5 linked regions of the Rattus norvegicus genome follow. The protein of the gene in region 4 interacts with the protein of the main gene of each other region in a biochemical or structural test. Links are inferred from orthologs where the notes say so. Each region holds a gene or a part of one and is shown on either strand. Other genes may lie near its edges.

The links.
Region 1: the proteins of Gtf2e1 (region 4) and Ercc3 form a complex in vitro, tested with the Homo sapiens proteins (2 studies listed by BioGRID). The link is inferred for Rattus norvegicus from reciprocal best matches to the Homo sapiens genes GTF2E1 and ERCC3.
Region 2: of the proteins of Gtf2e1 (region 4) and Cdk7, one has a biochemical effect on the other in vitro, tested with the Homo sapiens proteins (3 studies listed by BioGRID, with this or other methods). The link is inferred for Rattus norvegicus from reciprocal best matches to the Homo sapiens genes GTF2E1 and CDK7.
Region 3: the proteins of Gtf2e1 (region 4) and Gtf2f2 form a complex in vitro, tested with the Homo sapiens proteins (2 studies listed by BioGRID). The link is inferred for Rattus norvegicus from reciprocal best matches to the Homo sapiens genes GTF2E1 and GTF2F2.
Region 5: the proteins of Gtf2e1 (region 4) and Tbp form a complex in vitro, tested with the Homo sapiens proteins (3 studies listed by BioGRID). The link is inferred for Rattus norvegicus from reciprocal best matches to the Homo sapiens genes GTF2E1 and TBP.

The regions. Positions count from the first base shown.
Region 1 is NC_086036.1:24,171,330-24,174,845, reverse strand, and holds part of Ercc3 (general transcription and DNA repair factor IIH helicase subunit XPB), read right to left. Parts: intron 3,185-3,516; coding exon 3,000-3,184; intron 1-2,999. UniProt on the Homo sapiens protein: ATP-dependent 3'-5' DNA helicase/translocase. Binds dsDNA rather than ssDNA, unzipping it in a translocase rather than classical helicase activity. Component of the general transcription and DNA repair factor IIH (TFIIH) core complex.
Region 2 is NC_086020.1:33,575,473-33,578,988, forward strand, and holds part of Cdk7 (cyclin-dependent kinase 7), read right to left. Parts: intron 2,156-3,516; coding exon 2,006-2,155; intron 391-2,005; coding exon 243-390; intron 1-242. UniProt on the Homo sapiens protein: Serine/threonine kinase involved in cell cycle control and in RNA polymerase II-mediated RNA transcription. Cyclin-dependent kinases (CDKs) are activated by the binding to a cyclin and mediate the progression through the cell cycle.
Region 3 is NC_086033.1:57,733,669-57,737,877, forward strand, and holds the start of Gtf2f2 (general transcription factor IIF subunit 2), read right to left. Parts: upstream 2,810-4,209; 5' UTR 2,698-2,809; coding exon 2,632-2,697; intron 1-2,631. UniProt on the Homo sapiens protein: TFIIF is a general transcription initiation factor that binds to RNA polymerase II and helps to recruit it to the initiation complex in collaboration with TFIIB.
Region 4 is NC_086029.1:76,690,829-76,694,344, reverse strand, and holds part of Gtf2e1 (general transcription factor IIE subunit 1), read right to left. Parts: intron 2,579-3,516; 5' UTR 2,554-2,578; coding exon 2,106-2,553; intron 1-2,105.
Region 5 is NC_086019.1:65,150,206-65,153,721, forward strand, and holds the end of Tbp (TATA-box-binding protein), read left to right. Parts: intron 1-332; coding exon 333-500; intron 501-1,632; coding exon 1,633-1,727; coding exon of another isoform or gene 1,728-1,858; exon of another isoform or gene 1,859-2,576; intron 2,577-2,584; coding exon 2,585-2,664; 3' UTR 2,665-3,310; downstream 3,311-3,516. UniProt on the Homo sapiens protein: The TFIID basal transcription factor complex plays a major role in the initiation of RNA polymerase II (Pol II)-dependent transcription.

The sequences.
Region 1 (3,516 bases), on a different chromosome or scaffold from region 4:
CGTCAATGAACCACCAACAACTTCAGCAAAGTGGCGGGAGACAGAATCAACCTGCAGGAACCAACAGCTCTCCCACACCACCAGCATACAGAGAAAGAGAACAGGGGCAGACACACACCCATTCACCACAGCGCCAAAGAAAACGAAGTCCCTAGGAATAAACCTAACCAGGGGGGTGAAGACCTACACAATGAGAGCTTTAAATCACTGGAGGATGAGGCTGAGGAAGACAGGAAAACGGAAAGACCATCCCATGCTCATGAGCTGGGAGAACTAATATTTTTAAAATGGCCATTTCTATCAAAAGCCATAAACAGATTCAATGTGATCCCAATTAAAATCCCCACAACTTTTCTTCAGAAAAAAGATATCCCATGTTTCTTTCAAATAGAACCAGAAAAGACCCCAGATAGCCCAAGTAATGAAACACCACAGGACAGCAGCAGAGGAAAGGACTTCCTGAACGGGATTCCATTTGCCTAGAACGCAGGTCCAGCAACTGACAAGTGGACTGCAGAGAACTAAAGAGCTTCTGCGCAGCTAAGAATACTCAGTTGAGTGAAGAGGAAGCCTGCAAGTGGGAGAGAATTTTTGAAAGCTATATATGACAGAGGGTTAATGTCCAGAATTGTACAACAAAAACTCAAAAAGAGTCATAAATTAGAGGGAGAAGCAGGGAGGGGAGGGATTAGAAGGGTCGGAGGGAGAAGAGGGAAAGAGTGATGTAATTATATTTTAATTAAAAATAAAATTGGGGCTGGGGATTTAGCTCAGTGGTAGAGCGCTTACCTAGGAAGCGCAAGGCCCTGGGTTCGGTCCCCAGCTCCGAAAAAAAGAACCAAATAAATAAATAAATAAATAAATAAATAAATAAATAAATAAATAAAATTGTCTGGAGAGATGGCTCAGCAGTTAAGACCACTTACTGCTCTTCCAGAGCACCTCAATTGGATTTCCAGCACTCACACGGCAGCTAACAATTGTCTAACTTCAGTCCTGGGGAATCCAATGTCCTCTTTTGGCCTCCAACGGCACTCATGCATGTGCTATACAGACACACATGCAGACAACCACCCGTACTAACCAAATAGTTTAAAAGAAAACTTAATACTTGATATATTGGATGGAAACTAACATAACAGTGGTTTTAGTGCAGTCCTCCTATCCAGGTCATTCTTTTCATCAAGCTGCTAGTTTAAGAAACCGGCAACCCTCCACTTAGACCACACCCACACCATCAGTACTGCTCCTTTACTCCTCTTCTTGGAGGGCTAGTAGCACATTGGACTCTCTGCGAAGTGCAAAGCCCTCTGCTACTACGTCCCCATGCATGCAGCACCTACTTCCCCATGCATGCAACACCTACTTCCCCATGCATGCAGCACCTACGTCCCCATGCATGCAGCACCTACGTCCCCATGCATGCCGCACCTATGTCCCCATGCATGCAGCACCTATGTCCCCATGCATGCAGCACCTATGTCCCCATGCACGCAGCACCTATGTCCCCATGCATGCAGTACCTACGTCCCCATGCATGTAGCACCTACGTCCCCATGCATGTAGCACCTACGTCCCCATGCATGCAGCACCTATGTCCCTATGCATGCAGCACCTATGTCCCCATGCATGCAGCACCTATGTCCCCATGCATGCAGCATCTATGTCCCCATGCATGCAGCATCTATGTCCCCATGCATGCAGCACCTATATTCCCATGCATGCAGCATATATGTCCCCATGCATGCAGTACCTATGTTCCCATGCATGCAGCTTCTATGTCCTCATGAATGCAACACCTATGTTCCCATGCATGCAGCATATACATCCCCATGCATGCAGTACCTATGTTCTCATGCATGCAGTGTCTACATCCCTATGCATGCGGCACCTATGTTCCCAGGCAGCATCTGTGTTACTAGGCAGCATCCTGGTGCTAAGGGCTCTCATTCCTCCCTGTTCTCTGAACCCCAATCCTCACCCACAAATTATATTGTAATAAATGTGTCTGTTAATTTGTTTGTGTGTGTGCAGGAGATGAACCCAGAGTCTCTCTTGCACATGCTAGGCAAGAGCTTTATCACTAAACAAGTAACAAAAGCCTTACAAAAACACTTTAAGGTTAAATATCCTAATTATTATAATATAAATAAAATAATATCATTCAATATTAAAAGGGTTTTCTATTGCTCTGTATCAAACTGAGAACATGGTATGAAAGATTCAAAGGAATCTTTGGATAATTCAAGAGGATGAACTACGGCTACATTCATGATCAAGAAAATTCTGCAGGGCTGGCAGGATGGCTCAGAGGGTAGGGTGACTGACAGGTATAAGGCAAGTTCCACACCAGTGACTGTCCTACTGGGCAGATGGGAAAGGAGGGCCACGCTGTCAGGCAATGAGCAGCAACACTGGGTTGCAGATGGTGCTAACAGTCACTACAGTTTCTCAAACTCACCTCAATCAGAAGTCTATTTCCCAGAGGCCACCCTGCTCCGGCTCTTGAGCAGCAGTCACTTAAAAGTGCTAAGATGGATAGCTTTGTCATTCCCTCAGAGACTCATCTTTGACTCTGGATTTTAACACATACCTGTCCAAGTATTCACTAAAAAACAGTATTGGAAAAGTGTGTTCCCAGAAACAAAACCAGAAGGACCAATTTCTTCAGGGACTGTGGCACTGGGATTAGCCTTAGTGGTTGCCCTCAGAGGCTGCGGCGGCAGCGGCCGCAATCCTATAGAGTGAAGGTGGGCAGCAGGCAGCCAACTGTGCAAAGGCATGGTCTGTACCCGCTTGCACGTAACCATGTGACAGAGACAGGGATTCCCGTGCACTCCCCTATCAAGTGTGGCTCACCTTGAGAGACGGGGACTACAGTACGCCATGCTTATTCATGGGTCCTGACCTGCTTGCCTGCCCAGGAGGAGTTTATCGGAAGGTTCCTTCCGTTCCCCTGGGAGGAGCCCTTACTTGGCATACCACCCAGGGTGCAATACCTCAGCACACTGGACTTTGGCGATGTACCCATTGTTCTGCAGCTCCATCCAGTTGGCTTCGTAAAGCTTGGGTCCGATCAAGAAATTTAAGTCAACAATTTTGTCATCTTCCCGGACGAGGGTTGCAGTCAAACCAAGCTTACAGTGGGCCTGCACAATGGTCAGCACTCGCCGGAACATCTTGGCTGCAAGAACAGAAGAAACGGCTACATCATCACTTTCCACACTGAGAAGGAACCATGCCGCTCGCAACTCGGCACTGCTCTGTGGTATCCTGTGGGTAGCCTGGCTACTAGAGAGTGGAAGTCTGGTTCCAGATAAGAATATTTACCATGGCTTTTAGACCTGTTCAAAAGACAGAAAGAAGAATAGAGGACAAATGACCTCAGGGAGTTACCAGCTCACAAATGCCAGCATTCACCTACCAACACTGTCAAGAGCCCAGACACTGAAAGCAAATTTGACTTGACTCCAAGCCACACAGGTCACTCAGGCTGGAGCCTGTCCCCAGGACACA
Region 2 (3,516 bases), on a different chromosome or scaffold from region 4:
TATTTAAAAAAAAAAAAATAAACGGGTTGGCAAAGGTGCAGGATAGAAGGCACACATCAAGGACAGCTCTTAGAACTCTCAGGCATACTCAAAGTGCCTCAAGTGTCCTTGGCTGAAGAGAAGAGGAACACATTCTATTTCCTACGTAAACAACTGAACAGCTCTTTTCCTAACTGGCTTCCAGTGCCAGCGATAATGAGCTGTAGAGCTTTCTGATGTCATTTATCGATGGGGACTGTTACCTTGTTCTAAGGCCTCCGCTCTTTTCCGTTTTGTCGCCATGGCTGGATTTGACTGTTCCTTTAATGCTTCCACTGGACAGTTTGGTCTTGGAAGCTGGCATCCAGGTGTTGGCCCTGGACGATTACTGAAGTACTTGGTCCTCAACGCCTTTTCAAAGAAAAGAAAGCAAGGTCTTATTCTTTTGTCCTATTTTGAGACAAGACGTCACTGTGGGGCACTGGCTGGTCTGTAACTTGTAGCTGTCTTCCTCCAACTTGTCTCTGAGTGCTGGGTACATAGCCATGTACCACCATGCCCAGCTCAAAAGGGGTGCTTTAAATGTTTGTACTGTGAGTAGGAAAATCTAGTCCCAAATTGTTGACAGCATTAAAAATAGTATGCAAATACTCTTATAGCACCAAACAAAAAATTAGCATCAAGTATTTGGACACAATACATAAATAAACACCCAGTATCCTGCAACTGGCTGATACTGTTGGCGGGGGATGTGGTTGGAGGATAGAAGTGGCACACTCCCTTCTAACATTTGTACAACCACAAAGCCCAAACTGGAACCAATAAATTACAAAACAATAATCTACTGTGAATGGTAAAAACTTGTTTGGGCCAATCCAAGGTTGCTTTAACCACTAGAGTATAATGTTCTAGAATTTACAGTTTTATATAAAAGTGGTTTCCTCTCAAATGACAAGTTTGTCAACTAATACCTATTTATAATATGCCAGTACTGTTAACAGCCACAGTGATTTATTTACTCTAGACTCTCTCCAACAGTCAAGAAGATCAGGTACTCTTATTTATAAAATGTTTTGAAGTATAATATTTTGATTATATTCCCCCCCTTTCCCAACTCCTCCCAGTTCCTCTGCGCCTACCCATCTTCATACTTTCTCTCAAAAACAAATAAACAAAAACAAAATGAAGTATTAATCTCAAGTATTTAGAGGGCACAGGAAGGTGGATCTGTGCGTTTGAGGCCAGCCTGTCTACAAAGTGAGTTCTAGGACAGCCAGGGCTACATGGAGAAACAAACACTGTCTCTAAAAACCAAACAAACAAAGAAACCCCAAAAGCAAAACCAAACCAAACAAAAAATTTACAAAAACCCAAACCTGACAAACTGCAGGGAGAGGGGGTGTCACACCTTGGCAGAGGCAGGACAGCCTGGTCTATAGAGTGACTTCAAGGACAGCCAGGACGACAGAGAGAGAGACCCTGCCTCAACTCCCCCTCCCCCTCAAAAGGAAGAAAGAGGTAAGAAGTTACCATTTCCAACTATGTCATACTGAAGTCAAGGCCAACTTGGTCCTGACTCAAAAATAAAGAGCTCAAATGAAGCAGGCTGGAGAGATTGCTCAGCGGTTAGGAACAATGGCTGCTCCTCCACAGGACCTATGTTTGGTTCCCAACATCCGCCCTTCAACCTTCTGTAAGTCTGAGTCAGGGGATCTGATGCCTTCTTCTGGCCTTTATGGACACTGTACATACATGGTGTATAAACATACATGCTGCCAAAACATCCATACACATAATTAAAACAATCCATCTGAAATCTGTCAGTGGCGTGAGAACACACACACCTCTAACAAGTGTAAACTCTTATGTGATGTTTGCATAACAAGACTTCCTATCAGCCAGACACTGTCTATAGCTTCAGGAAAGGACACAGACACACACACCAAAGATAGACCTCTCGCCCTGGTATTTAAGGATATTAAAAACTTTAGAAACCTGAGTTTGTTTTATTAATGCTGCTGAGTACCTGTGAAGCTGTAATTCTAGTACATGGGTTGAATAAGAACAAGCCTTGTATGAGCTCAAGCAGGTCGTCTCCAGCTGCAATGAAGATGTGCTGCAGGGGGATGCCAGGGAAACTCTTGAACGTCACGTAATCTGGAAGACTACACATGTCCTGAAAGACAAGTAGGATTCAAATTTAAGTAACGTATCCAAAGACACAGAAATGGAAGAAAGTAACAAAATGTGGCCTGTTAAGATAGTCTGTGTAGAAAATCCTAAGAAAACTACTCATAGAGAAAAACAAATTAGAACTGGTAATATGTAAAGAGTAGAAGACATAGCATAAATGTATCTTAAAATCATAGTTCTACAGACCCACAACAAACATGTGAACACAAGAAAGAATGGATTCTCCAAAAAACAGGGTTAAAATTCTGACATTTTACACATGTAAACAAGTTAATCTGAATTTTATATACAGAAGTAAAAGTCTAGTTAGTTGAAAAAATTTGGAAAAGAAACTAGTGTTAGTTCTTACATGTACATATTTTAAGACCCAACAGAGCAACTTCAATTCATACTGTGTGCTAGTGATGGAGAGACAGGGGGATCAGTGGAGTACACAGCGAACCCAAGATCCACAAGTATCTGCCAAGCACAGTTCTGGAAAGGCATGAAGGAGTTCTGTCAAGCCTTTCCAACAAACAGTGCTGCAGCATGTGGACACCAAGCACGAAAGTACAGCTCGGGATAGGTAAGGTAATGCCCTCCATAATCCCACCACTGCAAAGACCACATAGGAAGCTGCAGGCCCTAATCAAACAAACAAACAAGAAAACCAACCCCAAATAAACCAAAACCAAAACGTTCATTTAGGAAATTGAGAAATAATATGAGACATTCCTTAGATATTAACTTTAGCTTTGGATATTTTTGTTATAGTTTTAACAAGATGATAAAAATTCTGCTTAAAGTGTCCACCTTTCTTCCTTTTTTGGTGAGAGAGGGAAGCAAGAACTTGTGTGGTGTTTATATGCCTGTGCTATCTGACTGAATCTAGAGTTAGGCTATAGCACTAGCCAACCAGCAAGTCTCCTTGCCTGTGCCCACAGGGCTGTGCCCACAGGGCTGTGCCCACGGCAATGGGGTCAAGGCATGCTGTACTTTTTTTCTCTCTTTTTTTTCTAAGGTTGCTGAATATTGGAATTCAGGCCCTCATGCTTGAGCAGTAAGTACTCCTAACTACTAAGACATGTCTACAGGCCCCAGAATTCATTTTCTTCACATTTATTTGCTCCTCAGAGCTTGGGACTACAATGGGAATAAAAAGCCAAAAGCTTCTCAACTTTAAGAATCTAAGTAAGGGGGCTGGAGAGATGGCTCAGTGGTTAAGAGCACTGACTGCTCTTCCAGAGGTCCTGAGTTCAATTCCCAGCAACCACATGGTGGCTCACAACCATCTGTAAAGAGATCCGATGCCCTCTTCTGGTGTATCTGAAGACAGCTACAGTGTACTTATATATAATGAATGAA
Region 3 (4,209 bases), on a different chromosome or scaffold from region 4:
TAAGTATTCATTGAGTGCCAGTTGTCTCATAGTAATCTCAGAATAATAACATGATCACAATGAATACAGGACTGAGACACAGCTGTTGGGGCTGCAAAGGGGAAACAAGATTATGGGGGCTGGGGGAGTGGGGCAGTACCTTGACTACAGTTATGGTTTTAAAAAAGGAGTAAGAAAGACTGGTTGTTATGTATTCGATTCTGTGTAAGTTCATCATATTAACTTACTGGACTACCAAAGGGTGTCAGATGATATGCCGGAGGCTGGAAAAGAGGAAGGCTGAGGAGACAATTCTGTCAGACACCTTGTAGACATCGGAAATTCATCCCCTCAATCTCTTTTCAAACTCAAATGTACTCTCCCCCGTCTACAGATATGAAAACTGAACCCAGGGATACTGATACGACTCAGAAATAAAGCTAGGTGAGATTGTGGGCAGCGTATCTCAAAATAGCGTGTGAAATTTTTAATGGTTTGAATATTTAAGTTTGATGGGAGCTGGAAAAACGGCCCAGCATTAAAAGTACTGGCTGCTCTTCCAGAGGACCTAGGTTTGACTCCCAGCACCCACATGGCAGTTCATAACCAGCTATAACGGTAGTACCAGGAGATCCAATGCCCTCTTCTGGCTTCTGGGTCTTACTACATTCCCCTGACTCACAAATGTAGACCAGGCTAACCTCTCAAGCACTCAGATTAAAGGTGTGCAGCACCACAGGAGCACCTACTTGATAGCTCTGCTTTATTTATCTAACATAAATACGCAAGAAGCACAGATGCTCTAAACGCACAGAGGTGGAGGATTACCATGAGTTTAAGGCCAGCCTGGGTTACACAGTGAGTTCCAGGCCAGCCTGAACTACAGAAAGGAAGAGAATGAGAAAGGGAAAGATGAAAAGACAGGGAGAGAAGGGAAGGGAGAGGAAAGGAAGAGAGTAGGTTTTCTTTTCTCCTGTTACTTACAACCCTCTGCTGTATTATTTGTATTAATCAGACTTTAGTCACTGTGACCAAATATCTGACAGAAACAATTAAAGATTTATTTTGCACTGGGTATCTTAGTCTCTATCTGTGGAAAAGCGAGGAGGAGCACTGCAAGCTCACATCGCAATGGCCACGATATAGAGAAGATATAGACAGGGCCAGGGCAGCCCTAAGAACATACCGCCAGTATCTACCTCTTCCAACTAGGCCCTCACCTCACCACCTTTCACTACTTCCCAGAGACGCCATATTACAAATCCACCTAAGGAGTAACTAATCCCTTAATTAGATCATAGCCCTCATGACCTACTTTGCCTCCAGAAAACAGCACCACAAACACACCCAAAGGTGTGCTTCACTAACTGCATAAGCTCTTAATCTGATGAAACTGAGAAGACTAACCCCCACCCACTTTAGTTTTGTGTCTCTCTGATATACAGCCTTTTCAATTTCTTATATTCATCACACACTGGGAAAGTAATATGTGCCAAACACTAATCAAAGTGCAAAGAAAGTGACTTGGAGGTGGAGGCAATCAACACTGGGTACAGGTACAAAGAATCACCAGAAACTGTTAAATGGTTTGAAAAACTTAACATGGTCTGCAGAACTGGCAAACGGGAGCTGTTCAGAGTAATGGACAGGAAAAGACACCTTGTCTTGATGAGAACTCAGCCATGTGCTTAAAACATTGACACTCACTATAAAGATAAATCATTGATAAACCAACTTTGGGAAACGTTGATGATCCCATTTAAATACGGCTTTTTAAAACGAGATTTCCCACAGAGTAATAGTCCCCCAGTCCATATAAAAAATGTAACCCAAATAGATGGTGACCACTGGGGCAAACAAAGCCTGGCACGTGTCCGTTTAAAACATTTACTGATGGTTAAGTTTCATGAAACCTAAACTCGCTCTTTAAAAACACTAAGTCAACAAACTTCTCTTTGAATTCGGAACTTCCAGGTCTTTCGAAAACTCCAATTGGATTACCAACTCAGGGAACACTTTACCAGTGGAAAACTCCAATTGGATTACCAACTCAGGGAACACTTTACCAGTGTAAAGCGACAGAAGTCTTCCAGACCAGCAGAGAGAGAGAGAGAGACAGAGACAGAGACAGAGACAGAGACAGAGACAGAGAGAAAGAGAGAAGAGAAGAGAAGAGAAGAGAAGAGAAGAGAAGAGAAGAGAGAGAGAGAGAGAGAGAGAGAGAGAGAGAGAGAGAGAGAGAGATTCTGTTTCAAAACAAAACAGCAAAAGTTCACAGGGACCAGTTCCACTTTGTGGTCCAGAAAACTGTGTATCTACTCACCTAATTTATACACATTCATGACTAAAGTTAACCTTACCAAAACAAAGACAAAAAACAAACAAACAAACAAACCCGCAAGGGCTTTTCCGGCATGGGGTAAAATTTACTGCTTTCTCGGGAACATCAGGAAGGCCAGGTCTTGGCGGTAAACAGAGTTCTATGGTGGGCGGATGAAATTGACAGACAGACTGAAAGATGCCCTGTGGCCCCTAAAGTAAGTTCTCCAACCTGCAAACAGGCGCAACAGCGACCCGCTTCTCAGAACAGCGGTGGCCCGGGAAAGACAGACCCAGAACTTTCGGAAGCGCCCCGTGGGGCTCGCGTCTCACCTTCACCAGCCACACGCCGGTGTTCTGTTTGGCGCCCGTCAGATCGAGTTCCCCGCGCTCCGCCATAAGTTTGTCGTGTGAGGCGGCGTGCGCGCACAAGCAGCGACCCGGGACTGAACGTCAGAGAGCGATAGACAGTCCAGAGCCGGACGCTGGGACAAGTAGACCGCGAAAAGCCGGAGTGGCTCACCGGCCGGGAACTAGAAACTTAAGACGAGAGGAACACGCCGCTGAATGAAGAAGTGCGCCTGCGCACGGTACGTCCGGACAGCGTCCCGCGAGGGACAAATTTCCTGCTTCCGCAATTTCTCAGGTGGGTGTGACTCCTGCCAACATGCAAACCTGAGACCCAAGTGCAGAAAGGAAAAACCAAATCCTGAGTAGTGCATTTAAAGAAAAGGTGCCAAAAATGGGGGAAAAAAGGTTAAGACAGACAAAAACTGTATGTATTCATACCCAACCCTAGCTGAAGAGGCTAGGCATTTAAAGGACAGACTTAGGGGTAAAAGTCACTTTCTTGGCCCAATGTCATTGGCACAAGTGGGCACTAAGGTACAAGTGAGTATGCTGGACACATGCCTTTTCGAGACTTAAAAATAAGTTCACACGGTGCAAGAAGAATACACTCTTTCAGACGCCAAAGCCCAAATGCCATCTATTTGGGTCAGTAAGACCCACCACGCAAGAAATAAATCTGATTATTTAACTGCCCTGCTTAAACAGTTTCCTGTTGCAGGATATTTAATCACACTATGAACTCTGAGATTGTGAACTGGAAGAATCTGCTAATAACTGTGGCTCAGCCTTTGATCCCAGAACTTTCTGTTTACTGTAAACAAGTATTTGTGGCCTGGAACAGTATTGGTGCGCACACCTCGGTCCCAGAGCTAAATAAAGTCAACCCTAGATCAAGAGGCAGAGCAAGTAACCAACTGACAGAGAGTGAACATAAGCAAGAGAAAGGAGGCACTTTGAGTTGAAGGGTGTTGGAGAGTGCATGGAGAGCTGGTAGAGTAGGAAGGTCAGCTGGGTGCTTTCTCTGCCTCTCTGAGCTTGCCAGCTTTCATCACAGCTTCTGCCTCCTGAGTCTTCATTTGGTAATTTCCTCTGGCACTTGCCTTTGGAATGAAATTCTACCCTGTGTTTTACTGGGTCCTCTCAGTTTGATCCTCCTATTCTCACAATTCCACACAGGATTCCACACCAATCCCATCCACCTACATGAAGACTCCAGGCCCTTCCTCCTACCATTTCACTACCTCTTTGAAACCAACACCTGTGCCTTAGATACTCCCCCCGCCCCGTCCTTTTCTGGCCCTATCATTTGGCAAACGTCTACTTATAAACAAAGACAAGTAGAAAAGAAACAAAGACTACCAGGAAGAGAGACCCCCAGAGAGAGTTCTGTTTCTCCACACCACATTGTGTGATACTTAACACCGTACCATGAAAGGCATGGATACCGTTGTCTTCTACACTACTCGCTGAACTCCTAGACAGAAATACTGCTTGTGCCCCAGATTTACTGAAGCAGAATGGATGAATGCAAAATAATGCTTTATTCATTTTATAGGCACA
Region 4 (3,516 bases):
CTGAAAATATGGGCTTTGTTCAGCCTGACTACAACACTCCTGCTTCAGCTTCAGATTTCTTCCAGAAAAAAATCTTCTCATGCCTTTACCCTCGGTCAAGGCCTTGATTCTAATAAACTCTAGCTCTCCTGGTAAATCAGGTCAACCTTTCCAAAGGCTGTCTGTTGATTACAACTAGTTCCTCACTAGTTCCTAACCATGAGTGAGATTCAAAGAGCAACCTGGGTCAATTACCTCAGTGATTTTTTAGGAAGTTTCATAAAATTAAATAGGACTCAAATGACAAATAAATGTAGAATTACTACAGATTATCGTTTTGAAGAACTAGATAAGACAAAACCACTGTAATATCAACAAAAACCACAGCACCAGAACCACGATTCTTTAAGAAACCTGTCAGGAGTCAATGACAAAAGCTTAAAATGTAACTAGTTTATTTTGGAAGAGCTCCAAATAAATTCTAGAAATTCCTTTGGTATAATCAAACAATGGTTACACCCAGCATGATAATTAAGGTTTTCTTATGGTCAAGCTCTCACAGCCAAGCATACTACTTCATAATAATCCCAGTATTAGGGGCCTGAGGTAGGACTGATTACCAAGAGTTCAAGGCCAGTCTGAGCAGCACAGTTGGCTCCTGGTGATTTTAGGCTATAAAGTAGACTCTGTCTTGGAAAATAAATAAATAAATAAATAAATAAGATTTCTCCTAATTAGATATGGGCCTTTGAATGAGAAATGTTTCCCATAGGCTGTTGATGGTACTACTTAGGGAGTTTAACCTTTAAGAGGTGAAACCTTGCCTGAGAAGTATGTCACTGGGGCCAGACTTTGAGCATTTATAAGATTAGTCCACCTATAACTAGTTGCTCCAGCTTCATGTACTTGAAGATTTAGCTTGCTGCTCCATCTGCCCCAATTGTCAGTCAAAATAAACTCTTCCTTTCATCAGTCAGTTCTGGGCATGCTGTTTTTATCACAGTAACAAAAATAACCAATGCATTAGGCAAGGTAGTGCAGGGGGTGGGGATGGTGGTGGTGGTGCATAATCATAGCATTCTGGAGACTGAGGCAGAAGGAGTTCAATAGGAGTTCAAGGTCAACATTGAATTCAAGTGAGTTCTAGTCTAAGTTACACGGGGAGACCAAGTCTCAAAAAACAAAAGGACAACAACCAAAACCAAACCAAAAACCCCTCTCCTAGACAAAGCAAGGTAACAAGACAAAACTGTTTCTCCAAGTATATGACAGAACTTGTCTCATGCTTAGTTTGAAAATAACCATTTAACCCAGCACTTTAATGTTTTTTGTGTTAATGGTATATATTCTGTATTTTGGAAAACATGGTTTATTAATTGTATTCATGAAAATTCTTAAAAATAAAGTATCTGATTAAATGAGGCAAATCATGTATGCTTTTAACAGTTCTCTTTCATTAACTGATTTGTATTATTGATCCATTTGTTAAGTTAAAAAGGGTTCTCCTCTTACCTGATTTAGCTAATTCTCATTTAATCTTTCAGGTCTCACCTATTCCTTCTTCTACAGACCTTCCCCAAATGCAGACCACATATCCTAGTTACACTCTCCTCTCAGCACAGTGCAAGTCCACTATCAAACTCTCGAGTACAGTATATGCTTATAAGCTGACCTGTCAGTGACTGACATAAGTAGACACTAAAATAATTTGCTGAAGAATGGGGTCACAATTAACTCAGAATAACCACAAGGGGGTAGAGAACTCAATCCTTCAGATTAGGCTACCACAGTAAATAAAGGTTGGGATGGGGAAGGGAGGAAATTCAGGAGAGCCAGTGGTGGGAAAACTCCATGGATAAGTAGACCTCCCTGGGTTGGGGATTTAGCTCAGCGGTAGAGCGCTTGCCTAGCGAGCACAAGGCCCTGGGTTCGGTCCCCAGCTCCGGAAAAAAAGGAAAAAAAAAAGTAGACCTCCCTATGAAGGAAAAGGGCAATGCAAAAGACTGTACGCTGACTCGCACTGATCTATTTACTCCTACAAAGTCTATGATTGGCTTACAATTTAGAACAACAGAAATTAAAAGAGTACACATCTTAGCTTGATTCATCATCTGGGTAGGTCTCACCTGTCATGGGTTCAAACAGCTGATTAGCTTCCAGGTCAGTGAAAGTGCTGCAGCAGACAGGACATTTGAAGGAAGCCCGATTGGTGGAGTTTCTCTCATCCGTTTCAATCCTCCTTCTCATGTGGTCCAGCTTATACTTCACTACATTAACAAGAGTGCGGTAATTGATGAAGTAGTAGTTATGGCGGGTGGTCTTCCCATCTGCAGCAGTCTCTACCCTCATTCTGCATTTGATGAACTTGTCTCCCTTTAAATTATTCAAAACGGATCGAAGCTGCTTCCGGTCAAACTTGAGCAGCTCCAGCATGTCCTCTTCTTTTACACAAGGGTTCCGGATCAAGATGTCCAAGGCCAACACATGCTCAATGCCATAAAAGCCCCGGATGACATACTTGGCTAACCGCTTCAATGCTGCTGGAACTTCAGTGAGAACATCTGGGTCTGCCATCTTCAACGGTAAGTTTCAACTTCCACTACATTGGATTGAGAAGAGGGGGATTAGTAGGCATGAGGACATAATGATCACTTTAAATCTACAACAGCCTCTTACTGTCATTTTTAAAGTGCCACAAATGCATTCAAATATCGCTTTAGAAGACTTTGAACATGTAAGCATTGAACAGAAATTCAGGATTTTCCTCTACAGTACACAAAAGATTACATCTAAAATGCTTGACATAAGTAGTTATTTTAAGGTTCACCAGTGTGCTTGATTCCAAAAAATCTATTATTTCTGACAATAATATAGTACATCAACCCCACTTTATTTCACAAAGAGAAACAAAGAAAGCTCTGAGAGGGCTCACTGTTCTTAATGGCATGCTCTCTAGAAATGGCTGGAAATCCAGAGAATCCTAGCAATTACCCTAGACTTCATTTCTTTTCATGGAAACTTTCCTGCTAAGATTCAAGAATGTTTTACATACTCATACTTTCACAATGAACACACACACACACACACACACACACACACACACACACACACACACACACACCAATAAAGGCATAAGTAACAACCAGCCAGTAGGGGTGCCTGACAAAATTAAGGACTATTGTAACTGAGAGAAATTAGCGCTATTCAGATCAAAGTGCATTAACAACTTTTAAGTAATATCTGATCACTAAGTAAGCACCTTCTATATCTTTAAAATGAAAGGAGGGGGATGACAAACTAAGATATCTTTAAATAATGGGTCCCTTGAAGAGCATGGCAGAAGCTGATTGTATCTAAGGTCTAGGCCACAACCAGAGTTGTCCTCTCAAAGTCTCTCACATGGTACACACTTGGACCTCAGACAGGCTGAGTTTGGATTGCTGTATAAGTCTGATCAAACCCTTAAACAGGTTCAAGCCACACTTTACTCTCAAAAGAAAACTGGGTGCTGTGATTAATAAAAATATTCAGTGGGGG
Region 5 (3,516 bases), on a different chromosome or scaffold from region 4:
CTAAAAATGGATAGAGATTTGATGTAAAGGAAGATAGAATTTGTCTTCCTCAATAATAAACTTTACTAATTTTTTTGGTAAAAATGAAGTTTTCATGTCAGTAGAAAATATAGGTCAGAATGTGATCATGCTAATTGAACCACAGGCTACATGGAGTCCTTTAAATCCTAGGGCTTGGCAGTAATGTGCCAGATAGAAGGCTGAGTTTTGGTAGATTTATGGTTTCTGTTAAGGACACAGGAATAGTTTACTTTCCTAATTTAGACTCTGTTATTCGTCTAAATTATTCCATTAAGCTTCCGTATATAACTCACTGATTTTCCTTTCTGTAGTGAAGAACAATCCAGACTAGCAGCAAGAAAATACGCTAGAGTTGTGCAGAAGCTGGGCTTCCCAGCTAAGTTCTTAGACTTCAAGATCCAGAACATGGTGGGGAGCTGTGATGTGAAGTTCCCCATAAGGCTGGAAGGCCTTGTGTTGACCCACCAGCAGTTCAGTAGGTAGGTCTAAGAAGTGTGGGGAGGAGTTTTCCAACAGTCCATTTATAATCTTCTCAGGTATCATTTAGGATGAATTACACGTAAGATGTGCAGTTTCTAAGCATGTATGATGTAGTTGAAGTTAAATATTTGTAAACACAAGGTATTGCTACACTTGTGCTACTGCTCTCTCTCTACTGTTCTTACAAGTCCCATTTCCTTGTCACATGACACCCTGACTCTCTCACTGGAATGACTTAGTTCACTTCTGCTCACCAGTTGGTTAGTCAATCACTAGATGTAAATACATGAATTGGTAGTTAATTCCATCACTTTTCTCCTGGTGACAACATAGCAGCACAGTGTACAGATGAGCTGCAGAGGTGGACTGCCCAGTTTCCTCCTGGCCTTTCTCAGCCTGGGTATTTGCTTAGCATCCCTACTCATATCTTTATCTTGGCATCTGTTTCCTAGTTGCAGCCACACGCTCACCAGTACCCTCACACTCACCAGATTCCTCTTGCTCCATGTCCTCTGCACATGATACTTTTAATCCTGCCATATTGGGTACAATTTTCAACATAGAAACTCCTGTTTGAGTTTCAGGAGTTCGCTCATGTTGCTCTTCCTCATATAGACCTGTCCTGAGTTTATCTCCAGATCACTCCCAAGAAAGGCAGAACAAAGAAATCTGAGATCACTCTGTTAGAGTACATTAACTAGTGTTAATTCAGGTAGATGGTTAATGTTAATTTCAGATGTTAGAAAAACAGCTCCAGCATAGTTCTATTCAGGAAGGCGAGATGATTACAAGGCTGACTGTCACTCTTAGCTTAGGAATGAATAGTGAGGTATTGATAAGCTGCTATACCTAGACTAACTCAAAAGTGACTCTAAATAGCGATCAGACTGAGCATACAAGTCTTGTTTTCATCACAGAAAATCTAGAATCTGTGAAGCTAGCATTAAGTGGTAGGAGAGAACCTGCAGTCAGTAATTAGTCCCCATGTCCATGATACGTGGCTCCTGACTGGCAGAGGTTTTCTTCCTACACCTGGACTGCTCACTCAGTCCTTTCTGGCACATAGCCTCTTTGTATCTAGAAACACAAAAAACTGTTAATTTCTAACCTGTATTCCCATTTTCTTTCTAGCTATGAGCCAGAATTATTTCCTGGATTAATCTACAGAATGATCAAACCCAGAATTGTTCTCCTTATTTTTGTTTCTGGAAAAGTTGTATTAACAGGTAAGTTGAAAGGGAAGTGGTGTACTGAAACTGCAAAGGACGTTGGGATGGGATCTTCTGTGTTGGGACAGTTGTCTGCCCACTTGGAGGATGCTTTTGTTGAAGTTTTGCACCCCATCCTAACTTCATGAGAAGGGTGGAAGAGTGAGAAGAGCAGCTGCTATAGCTGTCAGCTACTTAAGCTCGATTGTGGCGGCAGGCAGGGAGGGAACACTGCCTGTTTTCAGTTGGCCCCTGCACTGAAATTATTAGAGTACAATTCTGAGATAACAAGATTGAAAAGAGTTCACTTGAACATCAACTGTTGGGAGAGTAAGGTTTCAGTCCTCAGTGCTTCTCAGCTACTATGTCACTCAGGACCAAGTATGGGAAGGAACTAGACTAGGGAGTGGATATTGTCTTGCTGACTTGTGGACCCTGGCCTAGGACCAACTATATAGTGAGGAAATGATGGTCTAGGGTGTTTAAAGGTCACTAGATGTATCACTTTTTAAAATACTAAGAAAATACTGTTTTAAAAACATAGCTGAAGAGCTAGCTGGACATGACCCTTAATCCTCCTAGCAATTGGAAGGCAGAGACAGGCCAGCCTGGTCTATTCAAGTTTTCAAGTTCCAGGACAGCCAAAGCTACAAGAGAAACCCTGTCTCAAAAAAAAAAAAAAAAAAAGGAAGTGTGGTAGAGGGGTGCAGCAGCTAGGATTGTGATAAGAGGATCCCGCCACTTGTTTCAATGCCATTTTTTGTCTTAATTGGGTATGGAGAGAACTGTACTTATGTTTTAAGGTAATGATGTTACTTTCTATTTTAAGATATGTTACTTAACCATCTCGTTTCTGTTCCAATGTGTCTTTGTAGGTGCTAAAGTTAGAGCAGAGATTTATGAAGCATTTGAAAACATCTACCCCATCTTAAAGGGATTCAGGAAGACCACATAGTTGTCTGCCATGGACTCCTGTCTCCCCTACCCACGTGTTTTTTTTTTTAAAACCAGTCAGTTTTGGTACCACTGAAGGTACAGTTGTGAGGACACTCAGTTACAGGTGGCAGCATGAAGTGACACTGTGTGTCCTACTGCAGGATACTAGAAAGGTTCCCTCCTCTGCACTGAGATCACCCTGCAGCATCACTGTGAGTTGCTTGCTCTGTGCTGCTACTTGGGCGGCACTGCCCATTTATTTATATTTAGATTGTAAACACTGCTGCTGGTGATTGTTGGTTTAAGGGACAGAACTTTTAAGTGTTCAAGCCACCTGTACAATTGGACTTTTTATTTTAACCTTTCCCACACAAGCAAGTTTTTATATTTCTACCAGAAAAGTAAAAATCTTTTTTAAAAGTGTTGTTTTTCTAGTTTGTAACTCTTAGGAGTTCTTTTTGTGCCAGATACATTCCGCCTTCCCAGTATTGCAGGACTGAATAGTGGTATTCATCAAAACAAATGACTGTACATACTTTTCTTTCCTGAGTACTCTGCACAAAAGTGCAGCTGTAAATTGTTAGATTTTTGTTATAAATGATACCTTGTAAGTCATGTGATCATACTGTCAAAGAAATTTATTTTAGATATAATGCCTGAGACCATTGTTTTGTTTGCTTGTCTGATTTTTGTATTTTTTGTTAAACATTTATTGTCTGGAGCAATGAGAATGGACATGCCACTGATTTTATGATCCCCATTGAACACCCTCGTGTCCTAGATAGTCCACCTTGCTTGGGATCTTCACCAAATTAGTTGTTCTGTTCCTTTTCTGGCCTTTGACAAAGCCTTGCCCAAAGTCCCATATCTT